4 linked regions of the Drosophila melanogaster genome follow. The gene in region 1 interacts genetically with each later gene. Each region holds a gene or a part of one and is shown in the gene's direction. Other genes may lie near its edges.

Evidence for each region.
Region 2: of bsk (region 1) and Ras85D, changing one suppresses a phenotype caused by changing the other (phenotypic suppression), as found in Drosophila melanogaster (4 studies listed by BioGRID).
Region 3: of bsk (region 1) and egr, changing one suppresses a phenotype caused by changing the other (phenotypic suppression), as found in Drosophila melanogaster (8 studies listed by BioGRID).
Region 4: of bsk (region 1) and Rac1, changing one suppresses a phenotype caused by changing the other (phenotypic suppression), as found in Drosophila melanogaster (4 studies listed by BioGRID).

The regions. Positions count from the first base shown.
Region 1 is NT_033779.5:10,246,992-10,252,504, reverse strand, and holds bsk (basket), read left to right. Parts: upstream 1-2,003; 5' UTR 2,004-2,224; intron 2,225-2,762; exon of another isoform or gene 2,763-3,245; 5' UTR 3,246-3,294; coding exon 3,295-3,410; intron 3,411-3,590; coding exon 3,591-3,720; intron 3,721-3,782; coding exon 3,783-3,980; intron 3,981-4,043; coding exon 4,044-4,308; intron 4,309-4,369; coding exon 4,370-4,653; intron 4,654-4,731; coding exon 4,732-4,857; 3' UTR 4,858-5,003; downstream 5,004-5,513. Other genes in the region: Ror, read right to left, coding at 1-21, 78-230, 441-538; CG31717 (uncharacterized protein), read right to left, coding at 1,004-1,609, 1,678-1,686. UniProt on the Drosophila melanogaster protein: Mitogen-activated protein kinase and key component of the c-Jun N-terminal kinase (JNK) pathway which phosphorylate and activate transcription factors involved in a wide range of biological processes including response to various stresses, cellular proliferation, differentiation and migration, and regulation of cell shape.
Region 2 is NT_033777.3:9,510,024-9,515,009, reverse strand, and holds Ras85D (Ras oncogene at 85D), read left to right. Parts: upstream 1-1,942; 5' UTR 1,943-2,222; intron 2,223-2,557; 5' UTR 2,558-2,718; coding exon 2,719-2,857; intron 2,858-3,013; coding exon 3,014-3,270; intron 3,271-3,328; coding exon 3,329-3,502; 3' UTR 3,503-4,449; downstream 4,450-4,986. Other genes in the region: mRpL47 (mitochondrial ribosomal protein L47), read left to right, coding at 1-141; Rlb1, read right to left, coding at 199-1,563, 1,621-1,647. UniProt on the Drosophila melanogaster protein: Ras proteins bind GDP/GTP and possess intrinsic GTPase activity. Plays a role in eye development by regulating cell growth, survival of postmitotic ommatidial cells and differentiation of photoreceptor cells.
Region 3 is NT_033778.4:10,076,597-10,084,389, forward strand, and holds egr (eiger), read left to right. Parts: upstream 1-1,769; 5' UTR 1,770-2,415; coding exon 2,416-2,586; intron 2,587-4,016; exon of another isoform or gene 4,017-4,098; intron 4,099-4,191; exon of another isoform or gene 4,192-4,328; intron 4,329-4,591; exon of another isoform or gene 4,592-4,729; intron 4,730-4,910; coding exon 4,911-5,036; intron 5,037-5,656; exon of another isoform or gene 5,657-5,726; intron 5,727-6,045; coding exon 6,046-6,371; intron 6,372-6,433; coding exon 6,434-6,538; intron 6,539-6,665; coding exon 6,666-6,730; intron 6,731-6,807; coding exon 6,808-6,897; intron 6,898-6,977; coding exon 6,978-7,342; 3' UTR 7,343-7,614; downstream 7,615-7,793.
Region 4 is NT_037436.4:1,300,334-1,304,571, reverse strand, and holds Rac1 (Rac1), read left to right. Parts: upstream 1-1,888; 5' UTR 1,889-2,225; coding exon 2,226-2,804; 3' UTR 2,805-3,693; downstream 3,694-4,238. Other genes in the region: Acat2 (Acetyl-CoA acetyltransferase 2), read right to left, coding at 8-292, 349-534, 595-1,024, 1,079-1,191, 1,263-1,384, 1,479-1,521. UniProt on the Drosophila melanogaster protein: During various developmental processes, regulates changes in cell morphology in response to extracellular signals.

The DNA.
Region 1 (5,513 bases):
CGGCAATTTGCGTTCATATCCCTGAAAATATGCACTTGGCATTAGCAACGGAATGTTGAAATAGTTATCATACTCACTTGGATTCCTTGATTACTCCATAAGCTGCCTTTAATCGCTCCTCCAAATCGTTCATGGTGAGATTGGGGGATACGAAAACATGGGCATTGCTCAAGACATCGCGACAAATGGTGCCATTGTAAATATGGCAAATACCTGATGATTGCTGGAAACTGCAGGGCAAATAATATATTGCATTTTTAAGGATTAAAAGGATAAGGGCGTCTAAAGATTTCTGCATTCGAGTATACACTATGTTTAGTAATTTAAAAATATATAAAACATGTTAAGCTCATGATTTCATTAATTATTAATTCCACACAAAAGTATTTCGCTAATTATTGTTGCGGAAACTTGGGAAAACTTTCAGTGAAAATACCTACCCATATATTCTTGAGTCCACATTATGGCTCCCCACATCCTTTTTTGTAAATAAAAGCACGAGCGAAATGCAGACTATAAATGCCGAGTATTTGTTCATATTGCTTAATCTAGCTAACAATATGAAGCCTTTTGTTATTTCAATAGTCCAATTGACATGCCAACGATTCCGAAAATATTTTTGTATTTATCCTTTCGCGAAAACTTTATGTGGCATACAACATTTCATCCCCCGACGAAGTCGTTGGGGTTGTTGACTCCTTATCGATGAATCGATATATTTAGGAGTGCTATGACTCGGAACAAAGGAATTACACTATAATTTCTTATAATTAATAATCCAAATATCTTCAAAAGCTTTATTTATTTTATTAAAGATGGTTGTATAACGACTTTAGTCTCATTTAAAGTACACTTTCCCTTTTCACAGTGAAATAAGGGTAGAAAAATTATGCGAAATACACAATAATATGAATTTAACATTAACAATGTATTTGGTTAAAGCATTTATCATAATGATCTAGAGATTATCTATTGCTTTCGGTGTTCCAATCGTAACTTATCGTTACTCCATGCTGTCGACAGTTTCCTCGGTAACAAAGCCCACAATGCTAAATGCAGTTTCCTCGCTGATCCACAGAAGTCCCACGATTAGTGCCTCCAACACTCCGATGGCAGCACCGGCGCAGATATCCAAAATATAATGACGCTGGAGGATGAGCCGTGAGATGGCCACGCTTACAGCCCAAGCTGTGACCGGCATTAGGAATATGATGTGAAGCGGATACAGCTTGGCGAAGAACAGCAGCACAAAGAACGCCCGGGAGGCATGACCTGAGGGAAAGCTGAACTTATCGGGTCCAATGGTCAGCATATCCTTGCTGGCCACCGGTCGCCTGCGACGAACAAGCGCCTTCAGCACGGCCACGATCACTACGTCGAGTATCAGGCCGAAGAGCATATTGACTTGCATTTGATACAAGCTCTTCGAGCTGAGCAACCAGATGAAGGCGATCCATGAGACAAACCAGGCGATTCCATCGCATGATATCTCCAGAAATCTGCTGTGGATCCGCAGGGATTTGAAGAACGACAGATTGGAGACGGCTACTACAAAATGCTTCGACACCTGAACATCCTTCTCCAATAGGTATTTAAGTGCTGGTGATGACTGCAAGGACAAGATTTTAAAATTAGCACTTATCAGCTTATGTGATTCATCAGTGGCCAAAAACCAACCGTCCTCATATCGCTGTGTATTTCAACTCTTTTGTTTTTATTTATTGTTAGTGATGACAGTATTTCTCATTCGTCATTCGATGTATACTCGATAAGTCGAGCAAAGGAATATCTAATGACCGGAACGGTGAAATGAAACACTGCGCCAACTTAGTTTTTGGTCTTTATTAAATAAATTGCATTTGTATATGTTTATTTGTAAGTTATTAACACTTATTAGGTTTTAAACCCCTAATTAAACCTAATTTTAATCAAAAGTCGATTGGCTGACTTTAGCCGTTTCTGGTTTTGGTCCTACTGCAATCTGGTCACATCGATTTAAGTAACTTTGTTGTGATCGAATATTCCAATAGATTTTCGTATATTGTATTGTATCCATGTACAATTATTCTCATGCGAAAGTGCCGCAGATAGTTGATTCTTAAATTTCAATAACATTAACATAGTTTAAAATGCTCGCCACTTTGAGTGCCCAGTGTGTAGAATAAAATAGAAAAAAAATCGATTTTATATTTTCACAAGAAATTCTGTACTTCTTCGTTAAATGGTAAATAAATATTCTATTACGTTCCATTCACATCAAATATCGAATCACCGAAACACTCCTGCAAAACGTGCCATAATCGATTGAAAGCAATTATAGTTGTGCCGGTTATGAAAAAAATTATTGATATTTAACATAAAATGTCAACTGCCCAAAGAGTGTATGTACCTATGTATGCGCAAATGTCTAACGTTTACATATCGACACTACCCGAAGCGTAGACCGCTTTATTATCTGCAGCGCAAACGAGCGCTTTTTCGATGTACGAATACGGGGAATATCTTTTATCTGAGAGATAGTTTGAAAAGTTACTAAATTATCGACCCACATTTGTGTGGCTGTATGTGCATATGTATGTATGTGGCTTACATCTTACACATATGTATACCAGTAGAAGTTTACAGTTTTCATCCGCATACAAATCGTGTGTATGTACATATTTACACAGGCAACGGCATGCATACACATGAACGCTATGTACATCGCTGTGGTCCAACATTCCGTACTTTTATGTTTAAGCCGGACATATCGATTTTAAATCGGTTTTTTTTCCTGTGCGTGCCGCTAAACACTTTGCTCAAAGAACGAAACGCTCGGTTATTTCTGTTGGGTGTTTTTCCAACCATATTCGACATGTGTTCGGCAAACATTTAAATGCTTATCAATAGAAAAGGGGGTTCGGCATTCGAAGTCGGCTCAAATAAGTGACTGCGTTATGCAATTGTATCTTTTTGAAGGAACTCGATATTTTTTGCTCGTGGTTTGGCAACAAACTCGCCACACACTAGCCAGTAAATTTCACCCCTCGCGACAACAGAGACCCACTTAATGGCCATAACATTCTGCCGAAATAAGGCCAGGCAAAGTTAATGTTTTCCTACCCCCTAATTCCAGACGAAGTTGTCTGAAAACTGCCTCCACCCATTCAGAATGGAGCCATACATACGGACGTCTTTGCTCCTTATATAAAACAGAATCACACTGTAAAACCGTATTGATTTATCTTATTTACCCTCTTGAAAAGGCCGATATGCTCCTTGCTCTCAACTAGTAATAAATAAAATCAGTGAACAATGACGACAGCTCAGCACCAACACTACACCGTCGAGGTGGGGGACACCAACTTCACCATCCACAGTCGGTACATTAATCTACGGCCCATAGGATCAGGTGCCCAAGGAATAGTATGGTAAGTGGTTATCAATATGTTATTACATATAATACATTTAACAATTTTTTGGCTTAAACAATTAAGATATTTCGCATGAGTATGAAGTCATATTTGTAACGCTCCATTGTATATTAGATTAGATTAGATGGGATTAGCTGGAATATGAAAAAAAAAAATAACAAATTTAATGCATTTCAGCGCCGCTTACGATACTATCACCCAGCAAAATGTGGCGATTAAGAAACTATCTCGACCATTCCAAAATGTAACCCATGCCAAGCGAGCATATAGGGAATTCAAGCTAATGAAGCTTGTTAACCATAAAAACGTATGAAACTTGCACCTTTAACTTTAACAAATTTCTACTAAACATAGGTATTTAATCCGTAGATAATTGGCTTACTTAATGCTTTTACGCCGCAAAGGAACTTGGAAGAGTTTCAGGATGTCTACCTGGTCATGGAGCTGATGGACGCTAATCTCTGCCAGGTCATCCAAATGGACTTGGATCACGACAGAATGTCCTATTTGCTTTATCAAATGTTGTGCGGAATAAAACATTTACACTCAGCAGGAATTATTCACAGAGTACGTACAGTATGAATACATCTTTAAAATGAGTATGAAATATATGAAATACTTCATTTGCAGGACTTAAAGCCATCCAATATAGTTGTAAAGGCCGACTGCACTCTAAAAATTTTGGATTTCGGTCTGGCACGTACTGCAGGAACTACCTTTATGATGACTCCCTATGTGGTCACCCGATATTACAGGGCTCCAGAGGTCATTTTGGGCATGGGATACACAGAGAACGTGGACATATGGTCCGTCGGTTGCATTATGGGCGAAATGATACGGGGCGGTGTGCTGTTTCCTGGAACGGATCATATAGATCAGTGGAATAAAATTATTGGTATGTTGCTGCTTAAATAACTTGATTCTCGTTATGATTGTCAACTTTTACGTTTTTTCAGAGCAATTAGGTACACCATCACCCTCGTTTATGCAACGGTTACAGCCAACCGTCCGAAACTATGTGGAAAATCGTCCTAGATACACTGGATACTCATTTGATAGACTTTTCCCCGATGGCTTGTTTCCAAATGATAATAATCAGAATAGCCGCCGGAAGGCTTCTGACGCTAGAAATCTTCTTAGTAAAATGCTAGTCATTGATCCAGAGCAGCGGATATCTGTGGACGAGGCTTTGAAGCATGAATATATCAACGTGTGGTATGATGCTGAGGAAGTGGATGCTGTAAGTGATTCTGGCATAAACTGGATTTCTAGGAATGTTGAATGTTTTTAATCGCTTAATTGCATGCATCTCTTGCAGCCCGCTCCGGAGCCATATGATCACAGCGTGGACGAAAGGGAACACACTGTGGAGCAGTGGAAGGAGCTAATCTATGAGGAAGTCATGGACTACGAAGCACACAATACAAATAATAGAACGCGGTAGAGAACGACTTTTTCCTCCTTAGTCAGTCACAAGAAAACTAAAGCTTACCAACAATACGGCGTGTATTGTTAAATTATTACAACAAATAAAATATTCAAATTGTATTTAAAAATATAGTAACCATTAAAAAATAAAATCAATATGCGAAACTTTGTAATTTCTTACTCATCCTTGTTTTTTGAGCCCGCTTTCTTAAGTTAAATCGTTAAAATACCAGTTTAATCATTTCATTGTCCTGATTTCAGGAGCTAATTACATTTTAATCTTTGTATAAATTCATAAAATTTAAATGGAAAAGTTTAACCATATAAATTATTTCGGTATATAAAGTCGATACATACTTTTAAAATTTTGTTTCATACAAGAATATGGAAAGTAGATAATTTAGTTACCGATAAAAACATTTCTAAAATACAAAAAATTTAAAATGATGATTAAATAAAAAACTGTTATACTAAATTTAAACGAAACAAACGGTCATTCGATAACTCAATTAGTATCGAATAAGCCGGCGTGTAAATCGGGCTGGCAACTCTCACCGGTGTAGAGATCGGGATGGCAACTTCGTACTGTTATTCCTATGCTGCGATAACGATAACAGCAAAGTGTCATCGCGAATAAATGTGGGTTTGATAATAAAGAATTGCGTTGGTGAA
Region 2 (4,986 bases), on another chromosome or scaffold:
AACGAAGTCATGATGATCCTGCGTCGCAACCCCAATTTCGATCTGGATGTGCTGCGTCGCCAGTTCCCCGATGTCAACGTGGACAAGCTGCGCAACGAGGACAAGATTCGTGGTCACTATGTGCCCAAAGTTGGCGTGTGAGCAGCAAAGCTGCAGTTATTTAGTTATTAAAACAACAAAATACCATTGACATCATCTTTAATCTTCGTCAAACTTAATCTTTGTGCCCTGAAACGCGGCAATTTTCGGCTTAAACTTCTGTTTGGCCACCCAAGACGGGTGCATGCCATCGGTGGGCAAAGGAGCAGCAGTAGCGGTTAATTGATTGATACTTGGAGCAATAATTTCCGCCGCCTGGCCGTCGTCGCCGAATGTAATCTTCTTGCCTCTAAAATCACCAATGATTGGTTTCTGCTGTTGCTTAGCCAGCCAGGAGGGATGACGATCATCAGTTGGCTTTCTCGCTTTGAACTCTGGCTGTCTTTCCGGTTTCTCCCGATATGTGTTCGACCGTCGATCCTCATTGCGGAACCTTTTGACTGGCGGCGGTGCCTGTTCCTCATCAGCTTCGCTGTCATTGTCCCCGGAAAGAACCACGGCGCTGGACAAGTAGGGCTGGCCTGATTCCGTAATGAAGAAGGGATCAACGACATGTGTGGGACGATTATTGTCAAGTTGTGGTTCTTCTTCATCGATACTTGGCTGCCTTTCTAATCGTGGCTTAGGCTTCTGCTCTCTGGCTGGTTTTTTCTCGAAGGGTTTTGGCTTAGATTCTTTCGGTCTGCCTTCTAGTTGTGGCTCTGCATTATTCTCCTTGATTGTATTTAAATTCTGCTTTTTGGAACTGAGCTTAGTTATCTCCGGGTTGATCTGCTCATCAAAAGCTTGTTTTTTCTGAAGGTTTCTTTCTTTTTTGGCTGGTGTTTTAGGTGTCTTTTCCTTTTTGACTTTGAGAACTGGAGAATTTTCAGTTTTTGCAAAAGACTGTGGTATTTCCTGATCATTTACTTTGCTGACTTGAAGAGTGGGCGTTTCCGCAGTTGCTCCATTAACATCTGCATCCACCACTTTGTTCTGCTCTAACCACTCCAGTCGGTTTTTGGTTTGGGCCTTCTGCTCCTTCAGCTCCTTGCGCTTCCTCTTCCGCTCCTCAGTGCGTTCTATTTTGGCCCTTCGCTTGCTCGTCTCTAGGATCTCCTCACGCCACTTGGCCTCCTTATCGGTGGTGCTCAGCTTCAAGGTTTCCACAAACTTGTCCACCAGTCCGTGCATCAATTTGTTTAGCCGCAGCATGGCAATGCCCAGTTCATCCGGCGTGGAGCGCTCGTTAGCAATCACCGCATTGGGATTTGTGCCCTCCTGCAGGAGCGACTGGCGTACCATATCCATATATTTTAGAGCCTTCAACTGGGCCAGGCATTCTGTGTTCTTGCGTAAACGAATCTTTTCCTTTTCACTGTCTGGATTTTTGGCCAGAGCCTCTTTTGTCTTTCGCAGCTTTTGTACGATTTTGGCGATGGTCTGGGCGCGTGCCTTTTGAATGACCTTCTTGTTGGATATCACCTGTAAAAGTTCTTTTTAATTAAAACTCTATAATTTTAAATAAAATCGTTTATTTACCAAATTATTGAATTTCAATCTGTCCATGCTGTTTTCGTTACAGTGGTGGTTGAAATAATAGACTCAGGCTTGAGTCCGTGCTAAGAAACGGTGATGCCAGCCCGTTGAACTTAAATTAACAATTATTAAAAGCAGAAAGCGTCTGCCAGTTTTTACAGAAAGCTGTATTGATCAAATCATTTATTAGTTTAAGCAAATTATAGAGAGTCGACTGAAGTGCATCCACCTCTTTAGATTAGTTTTCATATAGCAATCGCTATTGCAAGTCCATCGATGGTGCCGGCCAGAATGCAGCCATCGCTATCGATAGTGCCATCGGCTTGGTGCCAGCTCTAGTATCTTCACAGCTACGTACAGCCTAGATTTCATCTTCATTTCACATACGGATTTATTGTTTTCCTGCGCTGTTAATTGCAATTACCGCACGGCAATTAAATTGGTGCCATCGAGGAGTACCGCCTGTCGCACCGTTAGCCGCGAAAGTGACGTGAAACGTGCCCAGCAACTGCGCCGCGCGCGAGAAGAGAGAGGCAGAGTATTGATAGAGAGGAGCGGAGCGGAAAAACAAGGAGGAGCTAGCTGAAGAGGCAGCAACAAAGAAGGTCCGCAGCCCCGGCAGGCAAAAGAAAAATAATAAAGAAAAGGGCTAAAAACAACGCCGCCGAATTAGCAAATTCACCTAGTTAACAACTCGGCTATGGGGGAGACTAACTAATTTGCATTGAGCGAATGGGTTTTAATTTTAGTTTGAGTCATTGATCTCTTTTTCCCATTTTTTTTTGTGTTGCCCGTCTGGCTGTGTGCATGCAGTGGTGCGTGTGTGTTTGTGCGAGTAAGCGCCTAGTCACAGTGACTCAGTGACGTGCATTAATTCCTGCCTAATTATGCGTTTAATTTATTTTAATCAATCTTAATTAATAATTTACTCCACTTGCAGCCCATACACGCACAGTCACCCACACAAACACACGCAACAAGCGTACGGAGAGAGAGACTGCATCTGCGGGCGCTTCACAAGAGAGTAAGCATCGATCGCGAGAAAGAGACTGTTACTGTGACATTTGACTACGGCAAATCGAAAACGGACGCCACAGCCAAATGACGGAATACAAACTGGTCGTCGTTGGAGCCGGAGGCGTGGGCAAGTCCGCGCTCACCATCCAGCTAATCCAGAACCATTTCGTGGACGAGTACGACCCCACAATCGAGGACTCTTACCGAAAGCAAGTGGTTATCGGTGAGTTATATGTACTTAGATCTGGCAAAGCTAGGGCTGCACAGGTCCAAATACTCTAGAGATTTCTGCACCCTTTCGCTGGTTTGGTTTCCCGTTTATACTAGAAGAGACCTTAAGAAGTTGCGATATTCAAATGCATTTTATATTCCCCTGCAGATGGAGAGACCTGCCTGCTGGACATCCTGGACACCGCCGGCCAAGAGGAGTACTCGGCCATGCGGGATCAGTATATGCGGACTGGCGAGGGATTCCTGCTGGTCTTTGCCGTCAACAGTGCGAAGTCCTTCGAGGATATCGGCACCTACCGTGAGCAGATCAAGCGCGTAAAGGATGCCGAAGAGGTGCCCATGGTGCTGGTGGGCAACAAATGTGATCTGGCCTCGTGGAACGTTAACAACGAGCAGGCAAGAGAGGTGAGTACCGGCCTTCAGAGTTCCGAGCGAACATTCCGTTAATTATGGTTGTTCTCAGGTGGCCAAACAGTACGGCATTCCATACATTGAGACATCCGCCAAGACGCGCATGGGCGTGGACGATGCATTTTACACACTGGTGCGCGAAATCCGCAAGGACAAGGACAACAAGGGGCGGAGGGGCCGCAAAATGAACAAGCCGAATCGTAGATTTAAATGTAAAATGCTCTAAACGGCCACGCATTGGTTATTATTCACTTTTTATTTCTTCAAATGTCGCCTGTTTGTCTGTATGTGCGTCGGCGAATCGCCGATCGTCCTGGGCTCGATGGTTTGTCCATTTTGGACACACAATGCGAAAAACACACACATGTGGGAGCGTGTTGGTCGGTGCAATTGTCAGATAAAAGAAGAGAAATTGTAATTAATTTAAGTAACTAGAGTTTTATGTACGTCGAAATGATTTTGTGAATGTGTGTGTTTTGTGTCGTTTGAAAGGCTGCGAGGCGCCCTTTTAAGAGTATTAACAATAACAAGCAAACAAAAACGAACGAAGCAAATCGAAAATGAAAATGAATATGTACCTCTACATAAAAACTATGAATACTGTTGTAACTGCCTTGGTTCAGCTGCTATATCCGTTTGTTTTCAACCAGCACTTAACTTGATTCTATGTTGTTTGTACTTCAACAGATACTCCGTGCTTAAAACCGAAACGCGATGTAAACAAATATTGTGTATTTTTACAGCCCTGTTATCTATTGGTTTCAACCCGACAGTCATACATAAATGTAATCTTTTTTCGCACACACGCACGAGCAGAATTCCATTAGTATTCATCATTAGAGAACAAACAAGCAAAAGCCGATAAGCTCACAGCAACTTTCGCACAAACGAGTAAATTCGCTAGCCCCAAACTAGATTTATGTTCGGTTAAACACATATCTGTGGTGCTACGATGATGAAATTATAATCCGTATGAGTTCTTGAGATTTGCCTTTCTTTCTACTTACCATACTGACAGATCAATCGGAGAGAAAACAAACAGCCAATTAAATTTACATTATATAGTTTGCTTTAAGCTTTTTATACATACATACATACATTTAATATTTAATTTTTTGTATTAATTTTTGCCATACAAAAAGAAACGAAATAAATCGATTGTGTGTACTATTTATGAAAAGTGGTTTTAGTTATTCCATAGTTTTGCTTTTGTGGATTCTATTTTTCCATCTAAAGTCTCCTGTCTTGTTGAGCCAAATATTCTATTATTTGAATTTTTGCGTTGCGCGCGTAAATTGCAGTATGCCTACATTTCGATAATTCGAAGAGCATTTTCGAATATCGGCGATGTCTAGTCGATAGAAATCTGAGACACGTCCAAATATCAAACCATCGATGAATGTGCTGTCATCGTATCACTGTCAACTCTAACATAGACTTTTGTACGGTTTTCTATTGATCTCGGAAACTGTAGTTTGTCACAAGCGTTTGTTCATTGTATAAAATTTACTACGCCGAAAGCAGCAAAATAGAAATATTACCAGTATTAAGAGCACAGCCAACATCAAAAGGTAAGCCATAACGCTAGCATAGAAAAGAACATTTGGCGAAAAAGTCGATTGACGCGGTCGCCATTTTGTTTTCGCGGACGCCGCTCCGGGTGTGTACTACTACGAATATTGCAAGAACTACAAAACGCATTGCGAATCC
Region 3 (7,793 bases), on another chromosome or scaffold:
GAGATCGTCTTGCTTCTTGGCCGTGCTCCATTAAGTGAGGCTGATGGTTAACCCTCTGTGCAAGCACGTGATATATCTAGATCTTACAATATCATGTACATCGACATACCAGCTCAATGCTGATATATGTACATATATGTTTGCACAGATCATTGAATCAGATTCATTAACACTGCATAAAACCAAAAAGGTCTCAGAGCTTAGATTGAAACAATTCGTCCGATTTATTCCATAATTAATTAAGCTTTTCACAACTGAATTTATATAAAACAAATGATGTAATACAAAAAAGTAAGATACAAAACACAAAAAAGTAATAGAAGCTTTTCAAAAACTATTGTATATACAAATGTACATACATATGTATATGTATATAATTTTAAATCATTGATTTACCATTTCCGAACATTGAAAATTATAAATAAAAATGTGGTCTTGCACAATGCGAAAACAGATAACGACTAATGGGTTAAGAAGTGCACCGGAAGCGTGTGCCATCCGATCCCCGCTCTTACGGCCTGAGCAGTTCTACCTGTGGTTACCTGTTTGTCGCAGACGATTAGAAACTAATTAGCTGACCAACGCCGACATTTGCATCTCTGCCGAATGACGACACTCTTGGGCGGATTTACGATACGGGTCTGTTTGGCAGCCGGTTCGGCAGACTAGTTGTCGCGACGGTGGCTGATCGGATCGGATCAGCATTAGGTTTATGGCTACCCCGCTACCCGTAATTAGAACCCGTACTTAGGCACGGCGCTGACAGACCCCGATCGTCGGTCTAAGTAATAATAAATACGATTTTAATGAAATGCTAAAAGTTCATTTGGCTTATCTATGGGTTTGTCAACGATCCGCCACTTTTCGGAACTCAATTAGCTGCGGCTCGGGAATCGAAGATCGGGGATCTGTTCCATGTCAGTGTCATGAAGGGAGCTCGAACAAAGCAGCCACACAAAGAAAATGAAGCGAAAACCCGGGGATGCGAAGCCAAGCCGCTTACAGTGGTGCCGATTTCAAAAAGCAATCGAGCAACCCCTATAAATCACAGGGGGAGGTTTTAAGTGCACATAACACATAAAAAGAAATAAAAGCAGTGGAAAACACTGCGCAAAAAGTCAAACACGCTTTGCTACTTATGATCGCCATATGTGCAAGGGAAATCGGAACCAAGTACAGTCTGTCTTGGCTAAAAACAACGATGAGATGGTCTTCAATATGGCATCCAATATTCTAAATTAGATACACTATTTTCTTCTCTTTTGATAAATGTTATTAAAGTTCGTTATTTGAGCATTTCAATTTGATATTGAAATTATGATAACATTGTTAAATTGTTAACAACTTTAGACTATATGAACTATTATTTAGTGTTATATCATATTATAAATCATATTTTTGTAAATATTTCTTATGCACACCATGATTATGAGTTTCATACAAATAATTTGTTATAATAAATAAAAATCGTATCTACATATACATATGTACATGTAAAATTGTAGAAATATAATAATTAATTTAATTCCTGTTAGCCAGAGCCCACTGTATCACCAAAACACCACCCCGGGAGAACCTTGCCAAAAATTAATTACACAAAGTAAACAGCGCAGGCGCCCTTAAGTATGCCGCGCATCCTCGCCACGTGAGCGAGGGAGACGGTGCCAATCCGTTGTCCCTCTTGCTCGCCTGCCTGCTCGAACGTGAGAAATCAAGTGCCGCTCGGTTCGTTTTCCCTCAGTTCACGCTCCCGTTCTCAGTTCAAATTCATTCTCTTTCGAATCGTCGACGCGAACGGACGTTTAAAGTGAGAAAAGAAACCGGTAAATCAGAGATCCCAAGCAAGCGCGTGCGTGCATGATAGCGAAGAAAAAAAGCTATCCGTTTCAGTTAACTACTTACCAAGATTGAATTTCGCCATCGGGCAAATTACTAAAAATACATAAGTGCAACTCGTCCACTGTGTGTTGTGTTTTTTTTTTTTTTTTTGGTTTTCGCTGTGCCTTTATCGCAAACAAGAACTGATAAAACTAGAAAATATCTTGAGAAACTTGTTTTCGCGCTTTTCTTTTGCTAATTGCCGATCGCGGAAGAGAAAAACAAGCAGTAGACAAAACAAGTGTGGTAATACAATCTGAAAAGGGCACCATCAGCAGCCCGAGGGGTTTATCTATATAGATGTCGCAGCTTATCATCTCATGCTGTCTGTGAGGTTGTTCTGTGTGCTCGTGTAGTATCTTAAATACATAGAGTGTGTTCATATAAAGTGCGACAAAGCTCGATTGGAAACAGCTGTCGAGTGCCCTTGAGTGGGTGGGCAAGATCGTCATCATCATCATCGTCGTCATTATCAACAGAATCAGCATCAGCATCTGGAGGCCCCGGTTGCTCTAAGATCCCCAGTGTTCATCAATTATGACTGCCGAGACCCTCAAGCCGTTTATAACGCCAACGAGTGCCAACGATGATGGTTTTCCGGCCAAAGCGACCAGCACGGCGACCGCCCAGCGACGCACCCGCCAGCTGATCCCCCTGGTTTTGGGGTTCATCGGTCTGGGGCTGGTCGTTGCCATTCTCGCACTAACGGTAAGTTTTCCTTCACAATCATTTACCCAATAGCAGCCCAATCAGGTATTATTGCCCATTTGGATCGACTATCGCGATTCTAAACACACCAATTAGACTCTGAACTGAATGAAATCGTACTACAAAATTTTCATTAAGATGCTATTAATTGATAACATTGCGTCTCTATCTGCCTACTTAAGATAACAAACCATGCTTAAAGATGTTTAATTAAGGTGGCACAAATCATACTTAGTATTGAAATAATTACAAATAAATAAATAGTATAACATATTTTATGTGTGTTTGAGCGTCGTACAATCTCTTCAGTCGCATTTTATGTTTTTAATGTTTTTTAGCACACTAAAATCGTCAAATGTGCTGAATAGATTTAGTTAATGAATATAATTTGAAAAAGATTAAAGTAGTCACCTCCAAATTGAAATAGCTATTCCATACTTGAATGCCTTTTTTTTTGTTTGTTGTGTGCGATTAATGATTCGTCGGAATTCCAAAGGTGTGGGTATATCAGTTATTGGTGGGAGTTTCCCCAGAATATAGATAGGAATGAGTTGTTATGGGCTATGTTGTTTAATGATATTTTGGGCGCCAAAGTGGGCCAATCATGATTATATGGCCGTTTTAATGACTGTTTCGAAACGAGTGTAAAGGTATTACACTGATTCTTAAACTAGACTTTTGTAGAATTTGTGTTTTATTGTGTTTTTAGTGTTTTATTTTGGTAGTTTAATTTATAATTTTGCTTAGTTATCTCTCCAAAAACCATCACAACGACAGTTAGTTTTATCTGGAAAACAGATTGCACCAATAAAGTAATGAAAGCATAAAAACAGAGAGATTCCATTCAGCCATGAACCGCCTTCTAGACTCTGAACAGACTCCTATTTTTCGGAAATGTTTATTTCAGTAGCTTGCCAAAATAAAATGCGAATAAATATAAATGCAAATTGGACTTTAACAACGTATGTGTATAGACACCCCCGAAATCGCAATCTAAAAATGAATATTTAACCTTTGGCACGCTTCGGCTTATAAAGCTGTTTGTCACAAAGTCTTTGTTGATGCCAAATTAAAGACGAAATTCCGCGGATGCATAAATTGAAATGAAAACAGACTTTATGATCCGTGACCGTCGCAGATAGGTTAACTATAATTTGGCATGAAACTATATTTAGAGCGGGAAAAACGGCGGTTTCTTGGCTGATCAAGCGATGTCATCACCGACACGTCTTTAGGCCAAATCGGTTCCTAATGATCCAGCTAATCCAAATAAAGCGGATGCAGATGCTAGAGAAATGTTTATCGGTACATGTCTGTTCTTCCCTTTTGTTTTTGTTCAACCGATTTAAATGCCACTGAGTCCGTTCTGTTATGCATTCGATAAATCTTCGACTGGGTTGTTGTGTCATGTTTTTCCCTGATAACTTTGCGAATGAGTGTGCTCGCTGAAATCCGGATTTGAATTGCAGAAGATTAAGTTTGTGGACTTGAATCTGGTCCTTCTCTCCCACCCCCATTTCCCCCCCCCTCACCCAGGACTCCTCCATGACCCACTCAACTTTGGCTTAAGTGAACGGAAATCGTACAATTGACAATTGACTTGTAAATGATTGGCTTCAGCCACTGACGTGGGCCTCAAGTTCGGTTTTCCTCATAAATCTCCGTTAAGCCATGAAGCATTTTTCGTTGTTTAATTCAATTTCACTGACATTCGTACAAAGTAACCCTCATCATTTGGGGCCCTCTAAGAAAGTGACAAACTGCAGGCGCTGCGATCGATCTACTGATCGCCGATAAGCTCTAATGGAAAGTGGTTCACTGGAAACTTAAACAAGTTTCTTGGGTCTGCGTAAAGTCCATAATTTATACAAGAATTCAGTACAAGTTGTTGTGTGTACCTACATGTATGTACATGTGTATATTTCCCCGTCTGCGCGTACAGTGGCTTAAGTTGAGCCATTCTTTTCGATTTCGGCTGCCAGTCGAGACTTGAGAAGTGTCCGTATATAAGGCCTCTGCTCGGCCCGAATGTTAATGATCCATTAAGCAGATTATGTGGCTGAGTGGCGATCGTACGTACCCCGCCGTATTTCCCCACGAAATCTTTCTCGTCTCGCCTCTATCAGTTTGTTCAGTTAGTTTTTATATATTTTTCGGGTGTCAAAAGTTCGCGGCACTGGGTGTTATATGATGTGCCGGGCCTTAGCACCAGCTATAGATGTTTAATTGGGGCTACGTTAAATTGATTGCCCAATTGCTAATGAGCGGATGATTAGAAACGAGCCTGAATGAGTGTGTAACAATTGAATTATCTTATCTTGCAGATCTGGCAGACAACGCGTGTATCGCATCTGGACAAGGAGCTGAAGAGCCTGAAGCGAGTCGTCGATAATCTCCAGCAGCGTTTGGGCATAAACTATCTGGACGAGTTCGACGAGTTCCAAAAGGAGGTGAGCAATTGCGTAAATCACTTTCGAGCATCAATATTTGTACTCGGCGATGGGGCAGGGGCTGTAACATTTGCCCCGGGCAAATACAGATACCTCGAATTGTTTACAAAGTCGGAAATGATTGTTATTCCTTGAGGCTGGTACTTGAGTTTTTAATGAGGGTATATCGAACTTTTGTTATTGAGTATCTATTATGTTTAGTTTTCTTTTTGCCTAAAGGGTAATTTGCATTTTATGATGGCAAACTCTGGCTAGGGTATCTCACAGTCGGTAAGCCATGCGCCTGTTTTTGAAAAAGAATGCCTCAAAAAAATGACCAGACGTAATATGTGGTTATTGTGTGGGACATACAAAAATATTTATAGAATTATGTGCTAAAATATAATTTCGACGCTGTTTCATCTGTTATTTGTTTCATTTTTTTTTGTTAGCTGCTTGGCCAAAGGCACATAGAAAATTGTGATAGATTATTTGAATTATAATGTCTCTTTCCGCAAGGAAACACTCATTTCAAATATGAGGCGCCAGCCAGTTCACGTAATTTATGAGATACAAATCCCCAAGTGACAAAAGGTAAAAGCCCCAATAATTCAACAAAAATACTAGGCTCTATCAGTAGATATAGTCGTTCAAGGCGAGCGATCGCTTTTGGCTGTATGTGACGATTGATCGAATCTCATCAAATGGCCTAATGGCCAGAGATGGTTTTAAGATTTTAAGATTTATTTATATTTTGATGGCTGGGCATCTGTGGTGCCAATTCTCTTGAGAGTTTCCTTCGCTTTTAAATATATGTATGATGTACACAAGTATATGTATACGAGTATCATGTTTTTGAGCGAGGCGCCATCAATTAGGATGATGACGAAACAGCCTGTGCTGCGGGCGTGTGTCTAAAAATGAACGTCCCAAATGGATGTGAGATATGTGCCAGGACTGTGCCAGCTGCAGTCACGTACTTGGCCAAGTCTTCTGACCCAAAATGCTGATGCCCATCCCTTCGTTGCAGTACGAGAATGCCCTCATCGACTATCCAAAAAAGGTGGATGGCCTCACGGATGAGGAGGACGACGACGATGGCGATGGTCTGGATTCCATTGCGGACGACGAGGACGACGACGTTAGCTATAGCTCTGTGGATGATGTTGGCGCAGACTACGAGGACTACACCGATATGTTAAATAAACTCAACAATGCACATACCGGCACCACGCCCACATCTGAGACCACTGCTGAGGGCGAGGGCGAGACGGACAGTGCATCCTCAGCCTCAAATGATGACAATGTGTTCGATGACTTTACCAGCTACAATGCCCACAAAAAGAAGCAGGAGAGGTGAGCACGGATGAAATTTTCAGGGATTTATCGTATTAAGCCTCTGCTTTTCCTCTTCACAGAAAATCTCGCTCGATTGCCGATGTACGCAATGAGGAGCAGAATATTCAAGGAAATCACACAGAGCTTCAGGAAAAGTCATCCAATGAGGCAACTTCCAAAGAGAGGTAAGTAGAACGTTCCGTTGAAAACAGGCAAGAAAAACCATTAATGAAGTTATATGCTATGGGTTAAAGATAGATAGTTAACTGCGTAACTGAAACACATATGTATACATTTTCTTTTTACTTGAAGCCCTGCACCACTTCACCACCGTCGCAGAATGCATTCCCGCCATCGCCACCTCCTAGTCCGCAAAGGTGTGTAGTGTAGAAAAGCGAAACAATTGGCAAAAATCGAATACCAAATCTCTATTCGCACCTCTGTTAATTTGCAGGTGAATCTCTTCTTTCAGCCAGATCCGAGGACTCGAGGCCAGCAGCCCATTTCCACTTGAGCAGCAGGCGGCGTCACCAAGGAAGTATGGGTAAGGAGATGCTTCCGCGTCAAGCGTGTACATACAAGTACTACAGGCAACCTAATGAAGTCACTTCTTGAATTTCTCAGGCTACCATGGAGATATGTACATAGGAAATGATAACGAGAGAAACTCTTATCAGGGACACTTTCAAACGCGCGATGGCGTCTTGACGGTGACCAATACAGGCCTATATTACGTATACGCCCAGATATGCTACAACAACTCGCACGACCAGAACGGATTTATCGTCTTTCAAGGAGACACTCCATTCCTGCAGTGCTTGAACACGGTGCCCACCAACATGCCACATAAGGTGCACACCTGCCACACGAGTGGTCTGATCCACCTGGAACGAAACGAGAGGATCCATCTGAAGGACATTCACAACGATCGCAATGCAGTTCTGCGGGAGGGAAACAACCGAAGCTACTTTGGCATCTTCAAGGTGTAAATTGGAGAGATTATCCCCGGTCAGAAGATGGAATACCAGTTTAAGCTTTTGTCCCCGCGACTGCTCGTGAATGCGATTCATCGCCAGCGTGAATCCATTAGTTCGTAGTACCTAGTCTTAGTCACTCCAAACCTAATCTCAATCGGAATCGTGCATACTGCATTAGTCAGAAGACGGAGGAAAATCATATTTATTTTGTATATACTCGTTCGACTCTAAAAAGTGAATAAAAATATATGTAGCTATTACCCGCTTGTGTAAGCGTGTTTAAGAAACATCAATTGAATCAATTGCTACCAGTTGCAATTGAAAATATTATAATCTTCTAAATAATGAATATTCGTTCTTAGTATAATTCGATTCAAAATGCTTCAAATGCTTTCAATTCAAATCTCAAATGAAGAGCCATTCAAAGATATCCCTCAGCTTTATTTGTGCAATTCCAGCTTAC
Region 4 (4,238 bases), on another chromosome or scaffold:
ATTAAGACTAGCTGAGGCGCTCCACGGCCAGGGCGATTCCCATGCCGCCACCGATGCAGAGCGATGCGATTCCCTTTCTTCCACCGGTGCGCTCCAGCGCATAGAGCAAAGTGACCAAGACACGGGCACCTGAAGCTCCAATCGGGTGGCCCAGGGCAATGGCACCGCCATTGACATTTACTTTCTGAGCATCCAGCTGCAGGTCCTGCAGGACAGCCAGTGATTGGGCGGCGAATGCTTCGTTCAGCTCGTAAAGATCCACTTCCTCACGCTTCCAGTTAATCTTTTGAAGCTGAAAAATGTGAAAACTTAGGAGCATGTATAGAAGTGGAATTTCCGTGTAACTACCAATGCTTCCACAGCTGTGACTGGTCCCAGTCCCATCACCTTTGGCTCAATGCCACTCTGAGTCCAGCCCACAATCCTAGCCAGCGGCTTAAGACCCTTCCTGGCCACCTCCTCGCCGGACATCAGTAGTACGGCAGCAGCGGAGTCGTTGACGCCTGAGGCATTGCCAGCGGTTATAGAGCCGCCCTACATAAGCAAGAGAAAGTGGGTTAACTCTCGCTCTTCTTGTATTTATCTTAGACCCACCTCTTTGAAGGCTGCCCTGAGCTTCTGTATACCCTCGACGGTGCTGCCCGCCTTGATGTACTCATCCTTGCTGAATGTGGTCGTACCCTTGCGATCCTTGATCTCCACGGGCACAATCTCCTTGTCGAAGTAACCCTTTTTTTGGGCCTCCTCGGCTCGATTTTGCGACAGCACGGCATAGGCATCCTGGGCCTCACGACTGATGTTATACTTATCGGCCAGATTCTCGGCAGTGATGCCCATGTGTATGTTCTCCATGGCATCGGTTAGGCCGTCGTGGATCATCGAGTCCACCATAGTGCCCGGACCCATTTTGACGCCCTGCCGCAGATGCATGACGTGTGGAGCCAGGGACATGCTCTCCTGACCTCCTGCCACAACAATCTGTGCGTCTCCCGAGCGGATGGCCTGGTAACCCAGCGCTACAGTTCTGGAAATGGTAAAAACCATTGTAAATGTACGGAATTGTACGGGACAAACTCACTTTAAGCCGGAACCACATAGCATGTTTATGCCGTAGGCTGGCACCTGAATGGGCAGACCCGCCTTGAGTGAAGCCTGACGTGCTGGATTCTGACCCTGACCGGCGCTTAGAGCCTAACAAAGATATTTACATAACAAATAGATCGGTAAGATAGGAGGAGAAACAGTTATGATATGGGTCCCACCTGGCCCAAGATGACTTCGTTGACCTCCTGGCCCTCCACATTCGCCCGCCGGAGTACCTCCTGGATGACCACGCTGCCCAGGTCGGAGGCCTTCAGTTTAGAAAGCGTTCCATTGAAGCTACCTGTTGATTTTTCAGATTGGACAAACACGAAGAGAAAGTTTCCAATTAGAATGTGGTTATCGTGTATGGTGCAGCCGATTTATCTTGGTTTTACCAATGGGCGTGCGGGCGGCGGACACGATGAACACGTCAGACATTCTGGATGGGCAAGGAACAGGTGTTATTGACTTGGCTATTGAGCAGCAAATAAATTCTAATTTTCGAAATTGTATTATTTGCTGCCAGAAGTGTGACCAGGTGCAGCCAAAGCCCAGAAGCTGCACTTCTGGGGCCCAGCCCTACTAAAAACAGCTTGTTCTCACTTCAAATCACTGACATAAACAGGAAGACAATGAAATTATATATTTTGTAATTCGGATTTAATTATAAGTAAATGCGAAACTTAAGGGTTTTATGTTTGCTTTAAGGACGAAGCCTTGAAATAATTTACAAATCTTAGGGTGACCATTTCAATGCAGTTTTAATTTGTTTTAGTATTTTACAGCTTTCCCATGGTAAATTTGAACAGTCCAGCCGCGGTCACACTGCAGTACACAGAAAATTTACTTTTTTTGTTGAGAAAATTAGGGAAATTAACGCACAAAACGCGAGTTAAAGAGGCCCAGAACGTAAGGCGCGATCATCAGTCGCCCCGAGGACCACAAGGCACTGGAAAAGGAGTCGCGCTTCCAGAGATAACCCCGCAAAAGGACCCACGCAAGCAACAGTCCTCCGCCGCCGCCCCAAAAAGAACCAAAAACGCCTGAAGAAGAAGCACCCCCGCAATCAGAAATCTGCAATCTTCAATCTCCAATCTCTAGGCACATAGCACTCCAGTCCAGAAAGTCGAGGAAATCGAACCATGCAGGCGATCAAGTGCGTCGTCGTGGGCGACGGAGCCGTGGGAAAGACCTGCCTGCTGATCAGCTACACGACCAATGCCTTTCCCGGCGAGTACATACCCACCGTGTTCGACAACTACTCGGCCAACGTGATGGTGGACGCCAAGCCCATCAACCTGGGCCTGTGGGATACGGCCGGGCAGGAGGACTACGACCGACTGAGGCCACTGTCTTATCCCCAGACCGATGTCTTCCTCATCTGCTTCTCGCTGGTGAATCCGGCATCGTTCGAGAACGTGCGGGCCAAGTGGTATCCGGAGGTGCGCCACCACTGCCCCAGCACGCCCATCATCCTGGTGGGCACCAAGCTGGATTTGCGCGACGACAAGAACACAATCGAAAAGCTGAGGGACAAGAAACTGGCGCCCATCACCTATCCGCAGGGCCTGGCCATGGCCAAGGAAATCGGAGCGGTCAAGTATCTGGAGTGCTCGGCCCTGACGCAGAAGGGTCTGAAAACCGTTTTCGACGAGGCCATCCGGTCGGTTTTGTGCCCCGTGCTGCAGCCCAAGTCCAAGCGCAAGTGCGCCCTGCTCTAAAAGAGTTAGACAGTTGGTCGGTGGTGTTCCACCGACGGACTCTGCTTAAACGTAATATTATTAACTATAAAACCATTATGTAACCTAAGCGTGGCCAGGCTAAATGGCTCATCCGTAGTTTCTTTGTTACAATTTTGCCACTAATTTCCGCTGCTAGGGGGGGATTCCCCCAACCCAACCCAACCCAACTCTTGCTTTTGTTTCGTTTCCGAGTTCTGAGTTTGTTTCGAGTGTTCTGTAATTCATAATCCAATTATTCTGTTTATTCGTGCATTAATTTCAACTAAAAGTTAAAAGCGAGATGTTTCTAGACGAAATGGAGAACTGTAAACTCTAACTGTATTTTGTATTATTTAATAACTTTTGTAATTAAAATTAATGTTGTAAAACTGAGGTAAAACCAAAAACAAAACAAAACAAAAAAAAAAAAACAAACGAAAAACCTAAAAAAAATGTGAGACAAGTACGAGAATAGCCGCATAATGAGCATAAAGCATAGATGTCGCATAGATGTTGATCGAAGGTCCTGCGGAAGGGATCAGGATATTGAGTCAGTAAAGTAAACGTTCCATTGCAATTACACTTACATTATTACATACTTGTATTTAGATGTTGTTGGATATCGAAGCGACGGCGCGGGCGAGTAACAACTTTTTAAACTTTTGCTAGATCCAGGAACTATCAATATATATACATGTATGTATAAGATGAAAAGTCCTTCGTATACTATGTACTGAATTAAAGGCATCAAACTGAGCAACTTTGAATACTTTGTATTTTAAACGACAGATATTCAAGAAACAAAAGAAAAACAAAAAACATGAACGAAGCCAAGATAATTATATAAATGTGTCTATTTCAATGGAAATCAATAAAGCATAATAAAAGGAGTTTTGGTTTATTTATTGTGATATGTTTCTTATATTCTTCTGACATATCATATGTAGTGAATACTAGAAAACGATCTGCGCATATTAGGGAACTATGAGTGGGAAAGAGCGTAAAACTAGTTTTAGCTAAGTCGAATCACTCATCGAAAAGATATCTGAGTGCTCTTTTCTTCTCCAAGATCTTCGCAGCACCAGCACATATACTTACTTACATAGCTCACGCATTCAAATATTCTTGATTGTTTATCAAACTCCATTCGTCAATGGCCGACATTGGCCCTCGCTCGAGTGCTCACTGTACCCACAACGGAGACAGACTTATCAACGCCGAAGAACGAATTATTTTGCTTATCTCGGCGAAAGTCGAGAACCGAAAATAATCTAAATCAGCTTGAAACAAAATAACCGATTCCCGGAGCTCCTCACTTCTGGTTCTACACCGAGAAAGAAGTATTTATGGTTAGCATGAAAATAAAATATAAATATATAGAAGTAAATAGAATAAAAGCATTTTATTGAACATGTTGCAACTAAACTCTAAAAT